5 linked regions of the Canis lupus familiaris genome follow. The protein of the gene in region 3 binds, or shares a complex with, the protein of the main gene of each other region. Links are inferred from orthologs where the notes say so. Each region holds a gene or a part of one and is shown on either strand. Other genes may lie near its edges.

The links.
Region 1: the proteins of BMP2 (region 3) and BMPR1A are in contact, whole or in part, in a crystal structure (PDB 2QJ9), measured with the Homo sapiens proteins. The link is inferred for Canis lupus familiaris from reciprocal best matches to the Homo sapiens genes BMP2 and BMPR1A. Residues at the interface, in NP_001191.1 of Homo sapiens: Lys297, Pro330, Phe331, Pro332, Leu333, Ala334, Asp335, His336, Ser339, Asn341, Ile344, Val345, Leu348, Asn350, Ser351, Val352, Asn353, Ser354; in NP_001393490.1 of Homo sapiens: His66, Cys67, Pro68, Asp69, Ile77, Thr78, Asn79, Phe83, Ile85, Cys100, Met101, Lys102, Glu104, Gly105, Phe108, Gln109, Asp112, Arg120, Ile122.
Region 2: the proteins of BMP2 (region 3) and HJV are in contact, whole or in part, in a crystal structure (PDB 4UI1), measured with the Homo sapiens proteins. The link is inferred for Canis lupus familiaris from reciprocal best matches to the Homo sapiens genes BMP2 and HJV. Residues at the interface, in NP_001191.1 of Homo sapiens: Phe331, Pro332, Ala334, Asp335, Leu337, Asn341, Ile344, Val345, Leu348, Ser351, Val352; in NP_001366281.1 of Homo sapiens: Leu40, Asn43, Tyr46, Val47, Tyr86, Leu101, Ala102, Ser105, Ala106, His108, Gly109, Ile110, Asp112, Leu113.
Region 4: the proteins of BMP2 (region 3) and RGMA are in contact, whole or in part, in a crystal structure (PDB 4UHY), measured with the Homo sapiens proteins. The link is inferred for Canis lupus familiaris from reciprocal best matches to the Homo sapiens genes BMP2 and RGMA. Residues at the interface, in NP_001191.1 of Homo sapiens: Val308, Gly309, Trp310, Asp312, Trp313, Met371, Tyr373, Leu374, Asp375, Glu376, Lys383, Tyr385, Met388; in NP_064596.2 of Homo sapiens: Arg91, Arg94, Gly95, Leu97, His100, Ser101, His104.
Region 5: the proteins of BMP2 (region 3) and RGMB are in contact, whole or in part, in a crystal structure (PDB 4UI2), measured with the Homo sapiens proteins. The link is inferred for Canis lupus familiaris from reciprocal best matches to the Homo sapiens genes BMP2 and RGMB. Residues at the interface, in NP_001191.1 of Homo sapiens: Val308, Gly309, Trp310, Trp313, Met371, Tyr373, Leu374, Asp375, Glu376, Tyr385, Met388; in NP_001353437.1 of Homo sapiens: Lys97, Arg100, Gly101, Leu103, His106, Ser107, Leu110.

The regions. Positions count from the first base shown.
Region 1 is NC_049225.1:35,396,334-35,400,639, reverse strand, and holds the start of BMPR1A (bone morphogenetic protein receptor type-1A), read right to left. Parts: upstream 2,813-4,306; 5' UTR 2,739-2,812; intron 1-2,738. UniProt on the Homo sapiens protein: On ligand binding, forms a receptor complex consisting of two type II and two type I transmembrane serine/threonine kinases.
Region 2 is NC_049238.1:59,452,107-59,456,293, reverse strand, and holds the start of HJV (hemojuvelin), read left to right. Parts: upstream 1-1,386; 5' UTR 1,387-1,597; intron 1,598-2,946; 5' UTR 2,947-3,036; coding exon 3,037-3,118; intron 3,119-3,514; coding exon 3,515-3,617; intron 3,618-3,731; coding exon 3,732-4,187. UniProt on the Homo sapiens protein: Acts as a bone morphogenetic protein (BMP) coreceptor. Through enhancement of BMP signaling regulates hepcidin (HAMP) expression and regulates iron homeostasis.
Region 3 is NC_049245.1:15,658,343-15,662,485, reverse strand, and holds the start of BMP2 (bone morphogenetic protein 2), read left to right. Parts: upstream 1-1,335; 5' UTR 1,336-1,410; coding exon 1,411-1,511; intron 1,512-1,805; coding exon 1,806-2,155; intron 2,156-4,143. UniProt on the Homo sapiens protein: Growth factor of the TGF-beta superfamily that plays essential roles in many developmental processes, including cardiogenesis, neurogenesis, and osteogenesis. Induces cartilage and bone formation.
Region 4 is NC_049224.1:47,576,112-47,578,841, reverse strand, and holds the end of RGMA (repulsive guidance molecule A), read right to left. Parts: intron 1,195-2,730; coding exon 523-1,194; 3' UTR 508-522; downstream 1-507.
Region 5 is NC_049224.1:11,451,340-11,454,851, forward strand, and holds part of RGMB (RGM domain family member B), read right to left. Parts: intron 3,261-3,512; coding exon 2,675-3,260; intron 757-2,674; coding exon 569-756; intron 1-568. UniProt on the Homo sapiens protein: Member of the repulsive guidance molecule (RGM) family that contributes to the patterning of the developing nervous system. Acts as a bone morphogenetic protein (BMP) coreceptor that potentiates BMP signaling. Promotes neuronal adhesion.

The sequences.
Region 1 (4,306 bases), on a different chromosome or scaffold from region 3:
TGCATCAGGCTCTGCACAGGGCAGGGAGCATGCTGGAGATTTTCTCTCCCTCTCTCTCTGTCCTTACACATTCCCTCCACTGCCAGCAGTTGTGCATGTGCACGCGCACACACACATCCAAAAAAAGAAATATAGATCACAAAGGACCTCAGGGGTGAATTGGCACTTGAGATTTTTTTTTTTTAAGATTTTATTTATTTATTTGTGAGAGACACAGAGAGAGGCAGAGACACAGGCAAAGGTAGAAGCAGGCTCCAGGCAGGGAGCCCGACGTGGGACTCGATCCCGGGTCTCCAGGATCACGCTCTGGGCCGAAGGCAGACACTAAACTGCTGAGCCACCCAGGCTGCCCGAGAGGAGTTCTTAAAAGTTGACAGGGCTACCACAAGAAAAAGTGGAAAAAGCATGTCAGGAGAAAAGAATAATAGGAGCAGAGAGCAAAGAAATACAGGCAGCTTCAAATCACTGGCTGAAGAGTACCACACATACACGGAGGGGTACAGAGGAAGAAAACTGAATGTTTGCTAACAACCAATGCTTACAGGTTTTCATAATTTCAGGTAAGTTGATCCCTACCTAAATCAAGAGCCTCATCATTTCTTGCTTGAAACAATTAACAATTAAGAGCATCCGAATTGTCGCCTGCTTTTGGTGTCCCCCTCCTCCTTCCAAACTATCATCCATATCCCTGCAGGATTAATTTTAGCAAAACAAATTATGATTCTAAAATGCCTCTGTTAAAATTTTTCGGTGGCTGCCAACTATTCACAAAATAAAGCCTAAACTCCCGACCACAGCACTGAGTCCTTCACCATCAAGGTCTCTCCTCGCCTTGTCCCTCAAAGCCGCTCTCATATCCTGAATTCAAACCACACAAAATGATTTCTTCTGTCTGTTGTACAATCGATATACCTCAGGCTTCCCTTGCTTACGCTGAGCTCTGCGCGTGAAATTCTCTCGCCTCCCAAATTCCACTGGGCAATCTTTCTCATCTTTCGAGACTCTACTCAACTATCACGTCCTATGTGCAGCCTCCCGGACTGTTCCCTCCTCTCACAGCAGTGAAGCGCCCAACCGCGAGGGCCCTGCGATATTTCAGGTGAAATGTAATGGAAGGGCCTAGCATTGGATGGGGATGGGGGGACTGGAAGAGAAAGGACGGAAACATTCACGGCACATTCAGAGGCCACCGGGTGGGACTGCATCTCTGACTAGAGCGGGAAGGAAAAGGTGAGGAACCACATCCGGCACCGAGACTTTGCGTGTGGGTAACAGAGATGTCCGCTAACAGACATGGGAACCCCGGTGCGACGCGAGCGGTTGGCCATACAGGCCGAAAGCTTAGAGAGAGGGACACAAGTGAAATGTAAGGTTGAGAGATCACTATAGAGGTAACTGTTGAAATGAGATCAGGAAAAACATAAAGAAGAAACAGAAAAATTTCAAAGATAAAACCTCGTGGAGGTCATTACTTAAGAGTAGGAGGAGAAGAAAAATTATGAAGGAGTGATTAAAGAAGTAGAGCTAGAAGAACACAGGGCCGGGCAGCCCTGGTGGCGCAGCGGTTTAGCGCCGCCTGCAGCCCAGGGTGTGATCCTGGAGACCCGGGATCGAGTCCCACATCGGGCTTCCTGCATGGAGCCTGCTTCTCCCTCTGCCTGTGTCTCTGCCTCTCTCTCGCTCTGACTGAATAAATAAATAAATCTTAAAAAAAAAAAAAAAAAAAGAAGGAGAAGAACACAGGGTCATAGAAACCAAGAGAACTGCAAAAAAGGGAAAATAGCAACTACTACAGTGATCAAAGAGTATGAAACCTAATAAAAGGCAATTAAAAAGTTGTAAGTGTTTTTCAAAAGAGCAAAGACACAAAGAGCAAAGGCAGAGTGAGAAAAAAGAATGAGCACGCTACAGAAGCAGCAGCCAACTGCTGCAAAGCCAACTACCCTACGAGGAAAGAGTACAGACTACTTCATAGTATATGTCCTATTTATTTTTCTAAAATATAGATCCTAAAGAATTCAAACCTTTTACCTGATAATCTGAGTCTGTAAATGGATCAAAATTAATGCACTTGACATCCCCTTTCTTAGAACGGCTTCTTTTCTCCTACCCTTGGTGTTACGACAGTTCCTACTTTTAAAACAAATTCTATCTCCAAAAACCTATTATTTTAAGACAACATTTTTATTCTGAATTCTATAATGTGTGAAAGATTCAAAATAATATAAACATCCATAATCTTCCATTCTGAACTCTGGTTGTCTTTAGGGGGGATAAATACATCCTTATATATCATCTAATGCTTATTTTCTATAATTAGAGTGAAGAAAGTGATATCAGTAATAAATGAGTACCTTTTATTTTTGAAGACTTTAAACATGAATAAGAAGGGGAAAATGTATTAGAACTACTTATGAACTCATAAAGAGGTGTTTAAAGAAACTAAAAAGACTAAAATAAAGTTGCAGCAGTAATACATACACATGGACTATTTTCAATTCCTTCCTTCTTTCCTTCCAAGTTAGTTAATATATAGTATAGTATTGGTTTCAGGAGAATTTAGTGATTCATCACTACACACAACACCGCGTGCTCATCCCAACATGCACTCTCCTTAATGCCCATCACCCAATTCAATTTAGCTCATTCCCCCACCCACCTTCCACGACTATTTTCAAATAGTTGATATGAAAATGTTCATATTATTCTAATTATTTTCTTAAAAGTCTTTTCCTTACCTCAGAGATGTGGCTAGATAAAACTGTACTTCCAATTTTCTCCAAACAGCTTTGACCTATGCTTCCATCTCATGAATTCCAAGACAGTATTAAACTGATGCATATTTTCATAAATCTGTTAAAAAAAAGAGAGAGAGCTTACTTAGACCAAAAGAAACACACAAAAGCAATACTAAAAATTCGTCATGTGTAAAATTATATATTTTCAACATAAAGTCAATGAAATTCTAAAGTATTTTAACCTATCACTTTATCATTTTCCCAACCTCTGCCCAAAGATGTTTCCTATTTTGTATATTTTCAACTTCACAAAGGTAACAATAGTTCTGTGGAAGAAACTTCTTGCATGCAAAATTTCTGTATTAGCTTAGATTTCTGAAGGAAAAAAAAAATCACATCTTAAAACGAAAAAACAGGAACAGTTAGAAGCAGCACTAAAATCCACAATTCTACAGTATTGAAATTTCTACTTAGGCAAAAATATATTTGGCCACCCAGCTAATACCCCTATTTTTCACTTTCTATCACAAAATCTCAGTAGGTAGTTCTAATTTCAGTCAATCTTCTACCTAGAATATTAAAGAACTGGAGGGGTCAGGAATCAATGGCACTGCTTGGTCTAAGCCCAGGGGATAGGTTACAACTATGTTTCCACTGACATTTAGTTCCCTGCTGCATTAAGACACAAAGTTGATAAATCTAAAAGCGGGAAACAATGAAAAATTCTGATTTATTTAAAAAGGCATGTTGCTTACTTAGAGATCTTAAAAATAATTTCTATGAACATATCTTTTAAATGAAACTTCAAATAGCAAAGTATTGTTTCATATTTTAAAAGGAAAAATTTTAAGCTGTATGAACACTACCTATGTCCCACGGCAAGGTCAAAATGCCTTTGTCTTCAAGTCCATTTAGAGGTATCGTTTGTGTCACACTGAGGTTTAGTAGTCTTGGCAATAATGACTGAATTCATGTAAACTGGGGCAACCTGAAACGGTCTAGCATATCAGATAGCAGCCTTTCTTAAAGACAAGAGTCTCCACTCAGCAGACGGGCTGCCATAGGACCATGCTAAATCTTTCATGGTCCAACTAAAGACAGACTGACCCTGAAAGCAATTAGTAATGCTTTGTCTGCATTTAGGAGCCTTAAACAGTCTTCTCAATGCACCGGTTACCCACAACTTAACTGGTCTCTAATATTTTTCAGGGTATTCACAGGACAATAAAACTCTTAGACCATCACTCAGAGAAACGAGGGCAGGAATGGAAGAGATACAGTGTTTAGGGATTTTTTTTTTTCCTGAGAGGTTCACAGTCTTAAAAAATTTCCCTTACATAATCAAAAAATAAATGCATTATGTTTTCATTTTAGAAATGACAAATATCTACCTCCAAAGCCACTCTTTGCCAACAACTCCATTCTTCCCTAATGGCGTAGGTGGAAGAAAAGAGGGAAGGCAATCACTGTATTTCACAAAGCTAGAGATTAACCCATTCTCATAAGGGTTATAACAATCCATCAAAATGACTATGTTTAAAAATATATGGCCTGATTCTAATTCTACC
Region 2 (4,187 bases), on a different chromosome or scaffold from region 3:
TACTTAATTTCATCAATGATAAATCTGCATCTCCTTATTCTACACCAAAAATCCTGGTTCACAAAGATGCTAGCATTAATCCTTGTTTGTTTATTTTACAATGGTAATTGCACAATAACACCCATGATAGTTGCACAATACCAATACCAATACTACCACCCACAATAGTTGCACAATAACAATACCAATACTACCACCAACAATATGACTACTTGAAAATATTTTTGCATTTCTTTTTGTCCCTAGAGTAAATCCCACTTGGGATGTCATAGTCAAATTACCGTGTTTTAAAGTCACTTGAATAGTTTGGTTGGCATTTCATATTTTTGCAATAAAATCCTTGTGCTATGGACTCATGTGGTTGAGAGAAATCTAAATTTTTCAGAAATATATGCATAATAAGAGTACTGTGCAGACTGCTAGATTCTGAATTAAATGCAAACCAATTAAGCAAATGCCTTAGTGACACTATTTGGAATCAGGCTTTGTGTTCACTTCACTTGGCAAATATAAGATGATGATCCCAGATGCCTATAACTGCAAAAATAAGATATGGCTAAATTCCTTGGTTGCAATATCTTAAAAGGTCACAAGATTATGTTATTCCACAAAAGTATCTTTCTGAATCTCTTCTTATCTCACTTTATCTTTCCAAGTCCCAATCCACCCCCCCAACGCTGTGGATTAATAACCTTCAAAAAACTCTATTCTTATTCCTTCTTCACCTTTTTGCCTCTGTTAGCCTCCTCCTCTAACAACTAGGGAGCTTATATTTTGTGTGTGAATTGGTTAAGAGGGAAGGAAGAGGAATTACTGTATAAACTAAGAGAATGAAATGGAGGAGACAGGGGGATAGACAGCTGCAAGGATCTGTTCTGGTAGACTGAAACAGACCTAGGCAACTCAGAGCTCGGATTTCTCCACTGGACAGCTGGCTTTTTTAGTCCTTCTGAAATACTCTGCAAAGATGGGGGAAGGGGTGTGAACTACCTCTGCTATGGACCCTATCTGAAGTCACCTACCTTCTAGATGTGACCAATAGAAACTAAATGCAATCTTCAATATAGCAGGGATGAAAGCGGTGAAAGAAAGAGTGTAATTTCCCACTCTACTTTTTAAAGGCTGGGAGCTCATTACTGAGAATGCTGGAGGGCTGCCTGGAGTAGGCAGTGACTAGAGTCACATAACCTGGAAGTGGATATCTGACTTGCCTATAATATTTCTGTCGCCCCTTCCCCACTTGGCACTCTATATTCCATATTCTTTCTAATCCTTCTACCCTCCCCATCCCCCCAACCCACACCCTACCGCCACTGACGTTCCTGGAATTTTGGACTTAGCTATTTTTAAAACAGTCAACTCAGTAGCCACCTCCCTCCCCCGCTCAGCTGTCCAGTACTCTGGCCAGCCATTTACTTCCCCTTCCCCCCACCCAAATCTTCTCTGGTTCCCTAACCTCAGTGAGATTGCAGCCAGTCTGGGGACCTGGGGGAGACATGGAGAAAGACGGGGGATCCCCTGGCTGGAGCTGACCGACAGAGTAGGCAGTCATGGCTGGAGAATTGGATATCAGAGTAATGTTTGTCCTCTGGAAACAGTAAGTCAAAATGAAATTGCAATTCCTTTAATACGCTTTTGGAATGAAGTTAGACTTTCAGAAAATTATGACACCTACTTGAATGTCTCTAGTCCAAAAGCTAGGATCTCTTTTCATACCAAGGTGCCCCATCTCCATTTCTCCTCCTGTCTTATTTCTTTCTGGCTGCTGGCCACTTGCCTCTTGAAGTTTCATCTTCTGTCTCTCCTCTGGCCGTTTTAGCTCTCTCCTTACTCTGTTGCCTCAGACTTCTGGTGAAGTTTTAGGAGTTTCCTATATGCCCTATTCTGTAGTTTTCTCACCATGGCCAGATTTAGCCTCAGATGATTAGTCACTGGTACCCTTCTACCTGCCCCTACTTGGCAGTGACCTTCACATTGGGCTTCCAAGGGTAGGGGCTATGTCTTGTTGTAAATTATTTATTTACACACTCCAGTCTTCCCACCCTATTCTCCCTCCTGCATGACTTTGACCCCAATCATACCCTTACGCCAAGAATGGGGAGTTTGGCAGGAGGGGTTTTGCAGGAGGAGTTTTGCAGAGGACAGGCCCCAAGGCCCCAAGGCCTGTCCTCTGCAAGACTGAGAACTTCTGAATTTGCAAAGGAAAGATGAAAAGAGTGATTCTTCAGTCAGATTTGGAAAAATAAAAAAAATGCAAGAACTGTGGACTCAACACACACAAGAATGGATTTGCATGCTTGGTTTGCATCCCGTTATTCTGTGAGAGAGAGGGATTATAATCTTAGCTGTCTCAGATGAAAGAGATTGGTCCCTTTTCATTTGAATACTGATGTTCTAAAGAGGGAATGGGTATTCCACCCTCACTCCTTCTTGCTAAAACATTCTGACACAAAGGAGGAAGAGAAATGAATGACCCCTGGAGAGTGTCCCCTCTGGATGGGGAGAAGCAAATAAGAGGTGTGTTTTTGAAATATTTTTAAATCCTAATTATATTGAGGAGCCCACTGGGATGACTGGGGTCTGATCCATCCCCACAATTCCTCCTTTTTTTTTTTTTTTTTTTTTTTTTTTGACATTCTGCTGTTTGGTAGCTCAGGATGGGGCAATACAGTGGACTCTGCCCGCGCCCCCCCCCCCCCCCCCCCCGCCAGTCTAGTCAACCTTCCTTCCACCCCCACCTCAGGGTGTTGCATAAGGGACCTGAAAGTGGCCACAAGAACAAGGCACAGAGGCTTAACAGCCACACTTACAGTTGGGAGAGCCCTATTCTCCCCAAACTCCCGACCGCTCATCCTTTTTCCTGATCTTCCCAGATTCTCTTCATATAATCCTGAATGATCTTCGACTCTTTTCTCTCCCCATGCCCAGCCAAGTTTCTTTTTTCAGTCCTTTACAGGAGGTCCGGTCAAAATTCACTAGGTAGGAGGGTCGTCAGCTGGAAAAAGCCGGAGCCTGGGGGGACCTGGCCGCATAGGTATGGGGGATCCAGGCTGGTCTCCCCATGGCAGCCCCCCAACTCTAAGCACTCTCACCCTCCTGCTCCTTCTCTGTGGACATGGTAAGGAAGGGCTAGGGAAGGGCTGGGGAACCTAGAGGGTCCTCTGCTGTGCAAGGGTGGGCAGGTGAGCATGTGTGTAGAGAAGGGACAGGTGCTGGAGAGTTCCAGTCACTCGCCTGGCTCTCAAATAGATATATATTTTATTTCCCATTCGCCTTGGGGAAGGACACTGGAAAAGCGCTTGATCCGTAGGGAGAAGAGACCTAGCGGGCTTACACATTTTTAGCAAGACGTAGTGAACACAGGAACTAGGGAGCTGGGGGCTGAGGACCAGGGACTGGACTGGAACTTGGGATCAGTTGGGTTTTAGGAGCAGCTGAAATTTCCTTCATCAGATTTGGGAGAATTAAGTGGGGATCCAAGAGCCATCTCACAATCCTCTCCCTTTGTCCTCAGCTCACTCTCAATGCAAGATCCTCCGCTGCAATGCTGAGTATGTATCATCCACCCTGAGCCTTAGAGGTGGGGGTTCACCGGGAGCGCTTCGAGGAGGAGGAGGAGGAGGAGGAGGAGGAGGAGGAGGAGGAAGGAGAGGGGGAGGGGGAGGAGGAGGAGGAGCTGGAGGAGCTGGAGGAGCTGGAGGAGCTGGAGGAGCAGGAGGAGGGGCAGAAGCTGGGGGCCGGGGTGGAGCCGTGGGCTCCGGCGGCCTGTGCCGAGCCCTCCGCTCCTACGCTCTCTGCACCCGGCGCACCGCCCGCACCTGCCGCGGAGACCTGGCCTTCCATTCGGCCGTGCACGGCATCGAAGACCTGATGATCCAGCACAACTGCTCCCGCCAGGGCCCCACGGCCCCTCCCCCGCCCCGCGGCCCAGCCCTTCCGGGCTCGGGCCCTGTCCGCTCCTCTGGCCCCCCAGCCCCGGACCCCTGTGACTACGAAGGCCAGTTTTCCCGGCTGCACGGTCGTCCCCCGGGCTTCCTGCATTGCGCCTCCTTCGGGGACCCCCACGTGCGCAGCTTCCACCACCACTTTCACACGTGCCGTGTCCAGGGAGCTTGGCCCCTGCTGGATAATGACTTCCTTTTTGTCCAGGCCACCAGCTCCCCCGTGGCATCGGGGGCCAACGCCAC
Region 3 (4,143 bases):
GGCCCCGAGACCGCCGCTGCGCCCTTCCCCGCACCCGGCGTCGCCCAGGATGGCCGCCCCGAGCCACGGGCCGCGGCGGCGCTAGCGCGGAGGGAGCGCCCGACCCTCGGCCCCCGCGCCGGGCCCCGCGTCCCGCGGGCGCCGGTGCCTGAGGACGACGACGCACCGGCTTCTGCCCTGTCCCTTCCCTCGCCTGCCCCGTCCTCCTCCCCCTGCTCGCTGTTGTTGTGTGTCAGCACTTGGCTGGAGACTTGTTGAACTTGCAGGGAGAATAGCTTGCGCTCCCGCTTCGCGCCGGTGCCTTGGCCCCTGCGGAGCCGGCCTCGCCGCCCGGACCCCGCGCCCGGACCCCGCGCCCGGACCCCGCGCCCGCGCCGCCCCACTGCTCCGCGGGGCCAGACCCGGGGCCGCGGTGCCCGGCGGCGGGAGGAGGCGGCGGCGGCGGCGGCGGCGGCGGCCCGAGGGAACCGGGTCCCTGCGCCAGGTCCTTGGACCAGAGCTTTTTCCATGTGGAGGCTCTTTCAATGGACGTGCCCCCGCGTGCTTCTTAGACGGTCGGCGGTCTCCTAAAGGTAGGGGACGAGGGCCCCGGGCTGGGGTGGGGGTACGGGGTAGGGGGTAGGGGCGGGGCGCGGGGCGCGGGCGGCCGCCGAGGGCGAGCGGCTCCTGGGGCCGGGCCGGGCCGGGCGGACGTAAACAGACCCCCTCCGGGTCCACGTGCTGCCGAGCCCCTGCGGCGATGCCCCCACCAGACCGCCCCGGCGAGCCTGGCCCTCCCGGCTCGCGCTCTTCCGCCCCTCCTCCCTTCTCTCTTCTCAGTATTTTATTAGGGCTGTTAACACTTAGATGATTAAAAAAAAAAAAAAAAAAAACCTCGAAGAAGCCCAATCTAGAGGGTGGCCTCTGGATTTCACCCGTTAGTCGCCAACCTTTGCGCCCTGCCATGGCCATCTTCTCTCCCTTCTTCAAGTTTCTCAGGGAGACCTGCTCTCTACTCAGAGCCAAGTCCCATTTAGGAAAATACTAGAAGTTGGGGTTCTCCCTGTTTGTTGCCAGGAATGCGAGGGGGGCAGTACTTAAATGCCACCTTCTGGTGACACGTGACCGAATAGGTATTATTTATGTAACTGGAGGAATATGTATGTGTGTCTGGACTGCATGGGGCGGGGGTTCGGGGCTGGGGTGGCCCTGTCCTGACACCTCTGAGGTTAAAGGCGTGGGCCACAAGTTGCAAGTGGCTTCGGAAGTTGTGGCCCTGAGTTTACTGGGTCTGGAAGTCAGAGGGAGGGCGGGAGGGCGGGAGCGAGAGAGAGTGTGAGTGTATGTGTGTATCAGGAAGTTCTATACGGTGCCTGTAAGGAAGTCACATGCACCATCCGTGCGTGTTTATATGCAAGCCAGCGCTGGGCAATGTGTTTGGGTTTGTTTAGCGATCCGGGAGGTGTCAGACCAAGCGGTGGTTTCCCCAGGTTCCCTGCACGGGCTGTCAGCGCGAGTGTCACAGAAGAAAGGTGACAGTCTTGACGCTGGTGGGGTGTGTGTGTGTGTGTGCGCGCGCGCGCGCAAATCGTGCCGGATGGATGAGAGTGAGTTGGAAGGGGGGGGAGCCTTCAGGCTCAGGAACTAGGGGCTTTCCATTCTCCCAAACGTTCGAGCTTAAGACCTTTGAAGTATCCCCGCGAGTATTGCACACCAGGTGGGCACCCTGGAGGGGGAGGCAGCGGCCGGAGCGGGAGCCCCGGGACGCGAGGGCGGGGAGAGGATTGGGCGGGGAACTCGGTGACTCACGTCGGCCCTGTCCGCAGGTCGACCATGGTGGCCGGGACCCGCTGTCTTCTAGCGTTGCTGCTTCCCCAGGTCCTCCTGGGCGGCGCGGCCGGTCTCATTACGGAGCTGGGCCGGAGGAAGTTCGCGGCATCTCCTGGCCGCTCCCCGTCCCAGCCCTCGGACGAAGTCCTGAGCGAGTTCGAGTTGCGGCTGCTCAGCATGTTCGGCCTGAAGCGGAGACCCACCCCCAGCAGGGACGCCGTGGTGCCCCCCTACATGCTGGACCTGTACCGCCGGCACTCGGGCCAGCCGGGCGCACCGGCCCCGGACCACCGGCTGGAGAGGGCAGCCAGCCTGGCCAACACCGTGCGCAGCTTCCACCACGAAGGTGAGGCGTGGAGCAGAGCGTGGGGGCCGAGATGCGCGCGGAGAGTCCCCTCCAGAAGCTCCCCACTGTGGGCCGACTGTTGGCATCCCTGGGAAGGCAGTTCTTGCCTTTGTAAGAACCTTTCCGAACCGAACCTGGCTTTACCGCGCTGCCTGTGTGGCGAGGGAGCCAGGGATTCCCCTTTGGTCAATCTGCACCCTTTTCCTGGCCTGCAGCCAGGAGAGCGACTCCTCCTCCAGGAACTGGAGAGAAATCAAGTGATGGGGAAGATGAGGGCAAAAGGCATGCCCCTAGTCAGCTAAATGTGCAAGAATTTCATAGGGGAAGAATGAAAAGGAGGGGGGCAGATTGGGATCTCTTTATGTCTGTTTGGAAGCCCTTTTGCCCTGTAAATCTGTTTCTCCTGCTTCAGCTGGGGTTTCAGGCTAGACACAGCCAAGGACAGACTTTTCAGAGATACTATTGAAGAATCAAAGCCAGGGGCCCCAAAGTCTTTCTAATTTACAGTTGATCTGGGCCTGGTTTGGAAGATTTCGAATCCCTATCTAATCCCCGTGAGAGATCAATCCCACAATCAATCTTATTGTTTCCACAATGACTTTCTTGTTTTGTGCTTAAATCTGAGATGAACTCCCTCTTAGAGACAAGGCAAGCCTTCAGATAAAAGCTTTTGCAGCAGCTGCCTGATGGTTCTTTTTTTTTTTTTCTCCATGTGCATTGAAATGTGGATTTTTTTTTTTTCTTTTATGATACTGGATGTGGTTTTCCTAAGGTACGCTATTTCTGCTTGTTTCATTAGAACAGCATTTAGTGGATTTGAAATGTCCAAGAGAAGCTATTGACATCTGTTGTACCCAAGTTCTTGGATCAATTAGTCAAAAATTTTATGTTCCACTTTAGTTCTTTTTCTACACTTTTAAATACCCTTTTGGCTTAATGCATTCCAAATAGAGCACGGGTTTCATCAAGTTCTAGAGAAATCTCCAAAGCTGTGTATCACAGAGCAGTCACTTGTAGATTATTGGGGAATCGGGAGTGAAGTTCCCATTTTCTTGCCTTGCTTCGAGGTGGTAAATTTCAGGCAGAAATCTATTCTCTAACATAAACAAATAAGAACTGTTACAGCTACCTATTTTCTCTCAGTGTGAAGGGTGACTACACTTGTGAGAACAGCACTTAGTGTTGGGAAGAAGTCCTAAAGGCAGGTGGCGTAACCAAAGGTACTTCTTCATCAAAGCAGTTGTACACTGTGAAGGGACACGGGATTGATAACCCATTGATCGTAATCCATCATTTTCCAGCACATTTCCAAGTGAGGTGCTTTTTTGCAGTAGAGCTCCCATGAGAAAGCACAGAAGGCATCCTTCTACTCCTTCAGGATTCGTTCGCTGAGAAGCAGAAGTTGTCTGTTGTCATATGTAGAAATGTTTTCACTCCTATATGCTCTGTCAACATAATCTTGGAATGATTGTAGTAGATGCAGCTCATCATTCCCAGCTGATGCTGATAAGAATTATTTTTCTGGATAGAAAAGTAGCAAGAGCAGCTATTTCAGCCACCTCTCCTGGAAATTTAGCCTGGAACCACTCTTAATTATTTTAAAGGCTAGGAAGGTACTGTGTGTCTCTCATAACTTAAAGGAGGAACACTTAAGTCGTCTGACACCTAAAACATTCAGCTGCATGAGGATCCCGTCAGTGGAGTCTGTGTATTTCTCTTTCCTCTAGGAGTGGCTTGATCAAAACTAAACAGGCTACAAATTATTTGAGTGTGTTATTTTAACCTAAATAGCGTGCTTGAGTTTATAAGTCAGAATTTATAACTTTAAAAGTATGAAAGTTATGTGCAGAGCAGTAGAGAAATTATCAACCTGCTTAAAGTCAACTTACAGTAACGTCAGATCTCAGTGCAGTTAGATGATAGAAAAAGCCATGTAATTTTTGCCTCAAATTTCATCACATCCATTTCTGTTCTTGTTATGACTAGCA
Region 4 (2,730 bases), on a different chromosome or scaffold from region 3:
GGGGGGGGGGGTCCAGCCTCGCGGAGGCCTGGGCACCTCGGCCTAGTGTGTGCGAGTGTGCTCGTGTGAGTGTGTGTGTGCGTGTGGCGGGCGCGGGCAGCAGTCAGCTGGGCCTGATTCAGTGCATCGCTGGGGTGGGGGGGAGCTCGACTCTGATCGGTCCCAGGGTCTCCCAGTGTCTCCGGGGGTGGGGCGGGCGTGGGGGGCTCGGGCCTGAGGGGCTGTTTTGCACATTCACACTGGGGGCGGGTGGAGGGGAGCGGCTCCCCCCTCGCACAGCTCAACTGTCACGGACGGCACCGCACCGGGGCCCCCACCAGGCAGGGGGTGGGAGCGGGGGCTGGGGAGGTCACCCCGTCCACAGCTCCCAGCTCCCAGCTCCACGGCCCGCCGGCCGGCGGCTCCCTCGGCCTCTGAGCTCCGCAGACGTGCAGGGCGCCCCCGGCCCCCGCCCCCTGCGGCCGCCCCCCCCCCCGCCCCCCGCAGCCGCCCCGGGCTGGGGCCAGGAGCGCGCCCTCGGGCCTAGGCGGAGGCCACGGCCCGCAGCAAGGCGGGGAGCAGGGCTAGGAGCGCGAGGCTGCCCAGGCGCGGCCGGGGCGCGGCGGCCCGGCCCGGCGGCTCCCGCGTCCTCTCGTACAGGTGCAGCCTGTCCTTGTCGGAGTGCAGCATCTTGACGTCCTCCAGCGCGTAGTAGGCGGCCAGCGTGAAGTTGACGTCGCCGGTGGTGAGCAGGTCGAAGACGCAGGCCTGGTAGTAGAGGTCCTCCACCGGCAGCTTCTCCTTGCACTTGGCCGCCGCCGCCTCGTAGGGGAAGGTGTCCGCGGCGGCCGGCGCGGGGCTGCGGGCGCCGGGGCCCGGGAAGTCGATCTGCTGGTTGAGGGGGCAGCCCCGCAGGCAGAGGTAGAGGCCCTGGCCGTCGCGGTCCTCCACGGCGTGCACCACCTCCTCGGGCATGCGCACCGCGAACGTCAGGTAGCGGCCCACCTGGCGCACCACGATGGTGGTGCCGATGTACTTGGCCTGGATCTCCACGTGCTGGCCCGACACCTTCTCGGTGATCTTCAGACTGTTGGCCCCGTGCTTGTCCCCGCCGTTCTTGGAGCCGTCGGCGAAGGCGGCCGGGAGCTCGTCCATCTCGGCCTGGTACACCTTCTGGTCCACACACTCCTGGAAGTTCTTGAAGATGATGGTGAGCTGGGGGGGGGGGGGGGGGGGGACGGAGACGGGGTTAGTGGTGCCGCAGGGCGCGTGCGGGGGCGCCGGACCGAGGAGCCCCCGCCGTGCCCCAAGCCCAAGCCGCCGGCCCGACCCGGTCACCTTTTGGTGCCACCGGCATTATGAAGCACTTAACATCCTTCTTTAAAGCAACGTGTTGGGATCCCTGGGTGGCGCAGCGGTTTGGCGCCTGCCTTTGGCCCAGGGCGCGATCCTGGAGACCCGGGATCGAATCCCACATCGGGCTCCCGGTGCATGGAGCCTGCTTCTCCCTCTGCCTCTCTCTCTCTCTCTCTCTCTCTGTGACTATCATAAAAAATAAATAAATAAATAAAGCAACGTGTTTTACTAGAGGACAAAGGGGGTTAAAGGAGAGAAGAACAGACCAAGAAACAAAACAGACTCTGAACTACGGAGAGCAGACTGACGACGACCAGACGGGAGTGGGGTGCGGGAATGGGGGGGACACGGGGAGGGGATGAAGATCATACTTGTGATGGGCACCGAGTGTGGTATAAAGTTGTCGAATCACTGTATTGCACGTCTGAGATTAAAATTACACCGTGTTGGGGGCGCCTGGGTGGCTCAGTGGGTTGAGCATCTGCCTTTGGCTCCAGGTGTGATCCTGCATCCCAAGATCAAGTCCCACATCCTTCTCTCCGTGGGGAGCCTGCTTCTCGCTCTGCCTATGTCTCTGACCCTCTCTCTGGGTCTCTCATGAATGAATAAATAAATAAATAAATAAATAAATAAATAAATAAATAAATAAATAAATCGTTTAAAAAAAATTACACCGTGTTGGAACGATACTGGAATTAAAAAACTTAGTTAAAACAAAACCAACTTGTTTTTAAAAAAAAGAGAAAACTGACTTAGGAGGGGAACTTTAGATCACTACCCTAAATAGAAAACCAGCTCATTTACTATATATAGAGGTGAACCATAAAAAGAAAAGCACAGCTAATTAAAAATAAAACTTCATTATCTATTGTAGTAGGCTGAGTAATGGCCTTCAAGATATCAGGCCCTAATGCCAGGAACCTGTGAAGGTTACCTTATAAGCAAAAGAGACTCTGCAGATGTGTTTAGGTTCAGGATACTGAGATGGAGAAGTTATCCTGGATTATTTGGGTGGGCCCTGCATACAAGCACACATGTCCTCCTAAGATGGAGCCAGAGAGAGGTTGGACCATCAAAGACGGAAGGCTCTTTCCATGGAGGCAGAGCCTGGAGGGGTATGACCATAGCCCAGGGATGCTGGCAACCACCAGAGGCTGGAAGAGCCCTGAACATACTCTCCTGGAAGCCAAAAGCACTGACCCTGTTAACACCTTCATGTTAGCCCTGAAAGACACAGTTTAGATTTCTCACCTCCAGAGCTACAAGAGAAGACATTTCTGCTTGTTTGAAACACTGACTTCGTGGTATTTGTTACAGGAGCAACAGGAAACTAATACGGTCCACAGCCATCTTTTTTTTTTTTTTTTTTAATTTTATTTATTTATGATAGTCACA
Region 5 (3,512 bases), on a different chromosome or scaffold from region 3:
GTTGCACAACGTGTTGTCAGTAATCACCAAGGAAGGACTTTGCACAAAGCCCCTCTGGCTCCCTTTTCTCAGCTCCTGTGTTTTGCAGCTCCTCCAGCAGGTGTCACTATAATCACAGAACAAACATTCCACAGCATGGTATGTAACTTTATTTTTCTAGCATAATAATTTAAAGTATTTACACACTGCACACTCACTGTTTTACACAGATACTTATTCATATACCTATGAACCACATCTAAAGGTTTCTTTGCAAAGACTCGACACACTGGGAATTTCCAAGCATAACAAAGAGAAGGAAAGGACAAAAAAAATAGGCTTTGAGTCTTTTAAAAGACAGCCATGTGGCGCATCTGTGAAAACCAGTGTTTCCCCCCCCAGTCTTAAGCTCCCCCAGGAGACCTCTGAATAGCTACAGCCTATCCAGATGTTGGTAGAACCTGAAACTTTGGGCTAAGGAGAATTTCAAGAACCCAAATGCACAAGTAGTATTTTCTCTAGAAGTGCTAGGACAAAAACAAGAATAACTTGGTCTTCCACTAGAGAAGCATCTGTATGTCTCAGTTACCTGTGGGGATGGGAAAGGTCGTACAGGGACTCGGATTGTAAAGGCACAAGAGCCAAATACACTGGTAAGAATGCGAGTGACACAGAATGCCTGGCAGGGGCCTCGCCAGCTCTCCGATAGGGCAACGTGGCCTGAGTTAAGGGTCTGTCCTTCCCCAACTGTTAGTAGAGGTGGTGGTTTTGCTTTCCCTGAAAAGGACAAAGGTTACATCGTTCATCTACGCCCTAAGGCCAGATACTGTAGGAGTTTCTACCGCTTTTACTTCACTTTCATTATACTGTTTGCACAAGAATAGTGGTTATAAGTACTCTATTTTCCCTCCTTTGTTCTACTCTGTTACATAACAAAGTTACTAGCTAACTCTAGCTTCTGAACTGGCCCATGGTTCCCCAGGTGAACAAACACAGCCCCAGTTCAGAGCTGATGGCAGGTACGCCCCCAGTCCAGTTTTTATAAAAGGTTAACTGGTTTAGGTTTCAATTCTCTGGTGGTGCATCTCTATCACGTCAGAAGCCGGATGCCTTTGTGGTTTTCCCAGACTCGCCAAGGCGACTCTGTCCTAGATCACAGAAAGAGAGGACGGTCGCCACCTCTAGATGAACCCACAGCTCCATCCTGCGATTGGATGACCGATCAGTTCATGACGAAATAGAATTTTCCGCAAAGCGAAATCCTCTTTTCCTGCCAGTCGGGGCCTCTGGCAGTGCCCCTCACCAACGGGACGTGGCGAAAGGCAGGGATGCCAGGCCTGGCCCGCTACAGCTCAGCACGCTCTGGATGCACACTGCTGTGGTCGCTCAAGTTCATTTTTTTTTTGCACTGAGCTAAGGTAAAAATTGTGTCCTTGCTCCTTGGGACCAAACACTTACATAGACAAACGAGAAATTTCCCTCCCCTAGCACTCCCTTCCTCGCGCTCTTGCACTTGGGGCGTGGGGCTTTCCTTTAGCACCGGGGCCGCCAACGGGGAAAGGGAGGCGGCAAGGAGGTACCTGATGGGAGTTTAACCAGGTTCCACGAGCAGGTGCCTAAGGAGCCTCTCTTAGCAGCCCGAGGAGGGGATGACAGAGACAGACACGCGGCCTGGGGCGCCACCAGGCCTGGATTAGCCAGCCCCCCTGTCAGTCGCATCAGGGAGGCCCTGCTCTCGGGCGGCCCGGGCCTTGCCAGGAGGCAAGCGTCCAACACAGCCTGGCTCCGGGCTTGGGGGGGGGGCGGGGGGGCGAGGAGGGCCCTCCAGGGGTGGAGCCGGGCGCAGCGCGGTTCCCAGGGCACCCAGCTCCGGCTCGAGGCCCCGGCTTGCACCCAGGCGCGGGCAAAGGGGGGACAGTGGGACCGGGGACCTGGATGAGCAAAAGTCTGAGCGCTCGGGGCGGGGGCGGGGGAGTCTAGCACAGCGCCTGGTACCTCTCCATGACCTTGTCACCTCTTGCCCCTTCGGGCCTATGGAAACAGCAGTTTTGTGTGGCTCAACCTCCCGTGCGGGACGTGCTCAGTGGAACGATCCGTAGGGCCCGCAGGCGGCTTCTCCCTGCCCCTCGCAGGGTGACGGCCTCCAGGGGGGCGGGGGGGGGGGCAGGCCGGGGTGAGGCCACCTGTCGCGGAATGGGGTGGGGAGGAGGGGGGCCAGGGGGGGATGGGACAGCGCCCGCCCCCGGTCCTCTCCAGGGGCACGTGGGGGGGGGGGTCTGCGTATAGGTACTGTACGTACTAACCAGGTACACACATAAATATTTAATATATAAAAAATAAAGTGCTTTCTAACAGGTCCCCAGGGAGGGACATTATAAAATATTTCACAAAACTGCAAAACAAAAATCAGTACAATCGAGGCCCGCTGCCTCCCCCGTCCCCGCCGCCGGCCCCTCCGCACGCCCCCGCGCCGGCGGCTGCACGCTATATACATATATACTCTTTTACTCAATATATTATGACAATATATATTTTAAAATTCTGTTATAGACCAAAAAAAAAAAAAAAAAAAAAAAGCCCAGCCCCGCGCCGCGCCGCCTAGAGGCCTAGAGCAGCCGCAGCAGCAGCAGCCCCGCCAGCCCGGCGCCCAGGGCCCGCGCCCCGCCCCCGCCCGCGCCCGCGCCCGCGCCCGCGCCCGCGGGGCCGCCGCCGCCCGGGAACAGGTGCCAGCGCTCCCGCCGCGGGTGCAGCGCCGCCACGTCCTCCAGGGCGCTGCGCGCGGCCGCCGAGAAGTTGGCGTCGCCCGTGGTGAGCAGGTCGAAGACGCACGACTGGAAGTAGAGGTCCTGCAGCGGCACCCGCTCCCGGCAGCGCGCGTGCGCCGCCTCCAGCGAGAAGCCGGGCCCGGGCGGCGGCGCGGGGCGGCCCAGGATGGCGGACACCCGGCCGCGGCCGTCGTCGATGCGCTCGGCCAGCGGGCAGCCGTGCACGCACAGCTGCAGGTCCTGGCTCTCCTCGTAGGCCATGGCCAGCGCCTCGGGCATGCGCAGCGCCAGCGTCAGGTAGCGGCCCAGCTGGCGCACGAACACGGTGGTGCCGATGTAGCGCGCGTGCATCTCCACGGCGCGGCCGCTCTCGCGCTCCCGCACCACCAGGCTCTTGGCGTCGCCGTCGCCGCCGCTCGTGCTGCCGTCCACGAAGGCCGCCGGCAGGTCGTCGCTCACCGCCTGGTACACCTTCTGCTCCGTGCACGCGCCGTGGGCCTTGAAGATGACGGTCACCTGCGGGGGAGCACAGCGCCGTCAGCCGCGGGGCCCAGGGGACCTCCGCTCGGGGCCGGGGGTGGGGAAGGGGGGCGCAGCGCTGGGGGATCCAGGCGAGCTTCCCCTGGGGCGGTGGGGGAGGGGGGGGAAGGGGGGGCCCAGCCCTGCGGGGTCCAGGCGAGCTTCTCGGGTCGGTGGACGCAGCCTTGCGGGGTCCAGGTGAGCAGCCCTGCAGGGCCCAGGGGACCTCCCCTCGAGGCAGGGGATGGG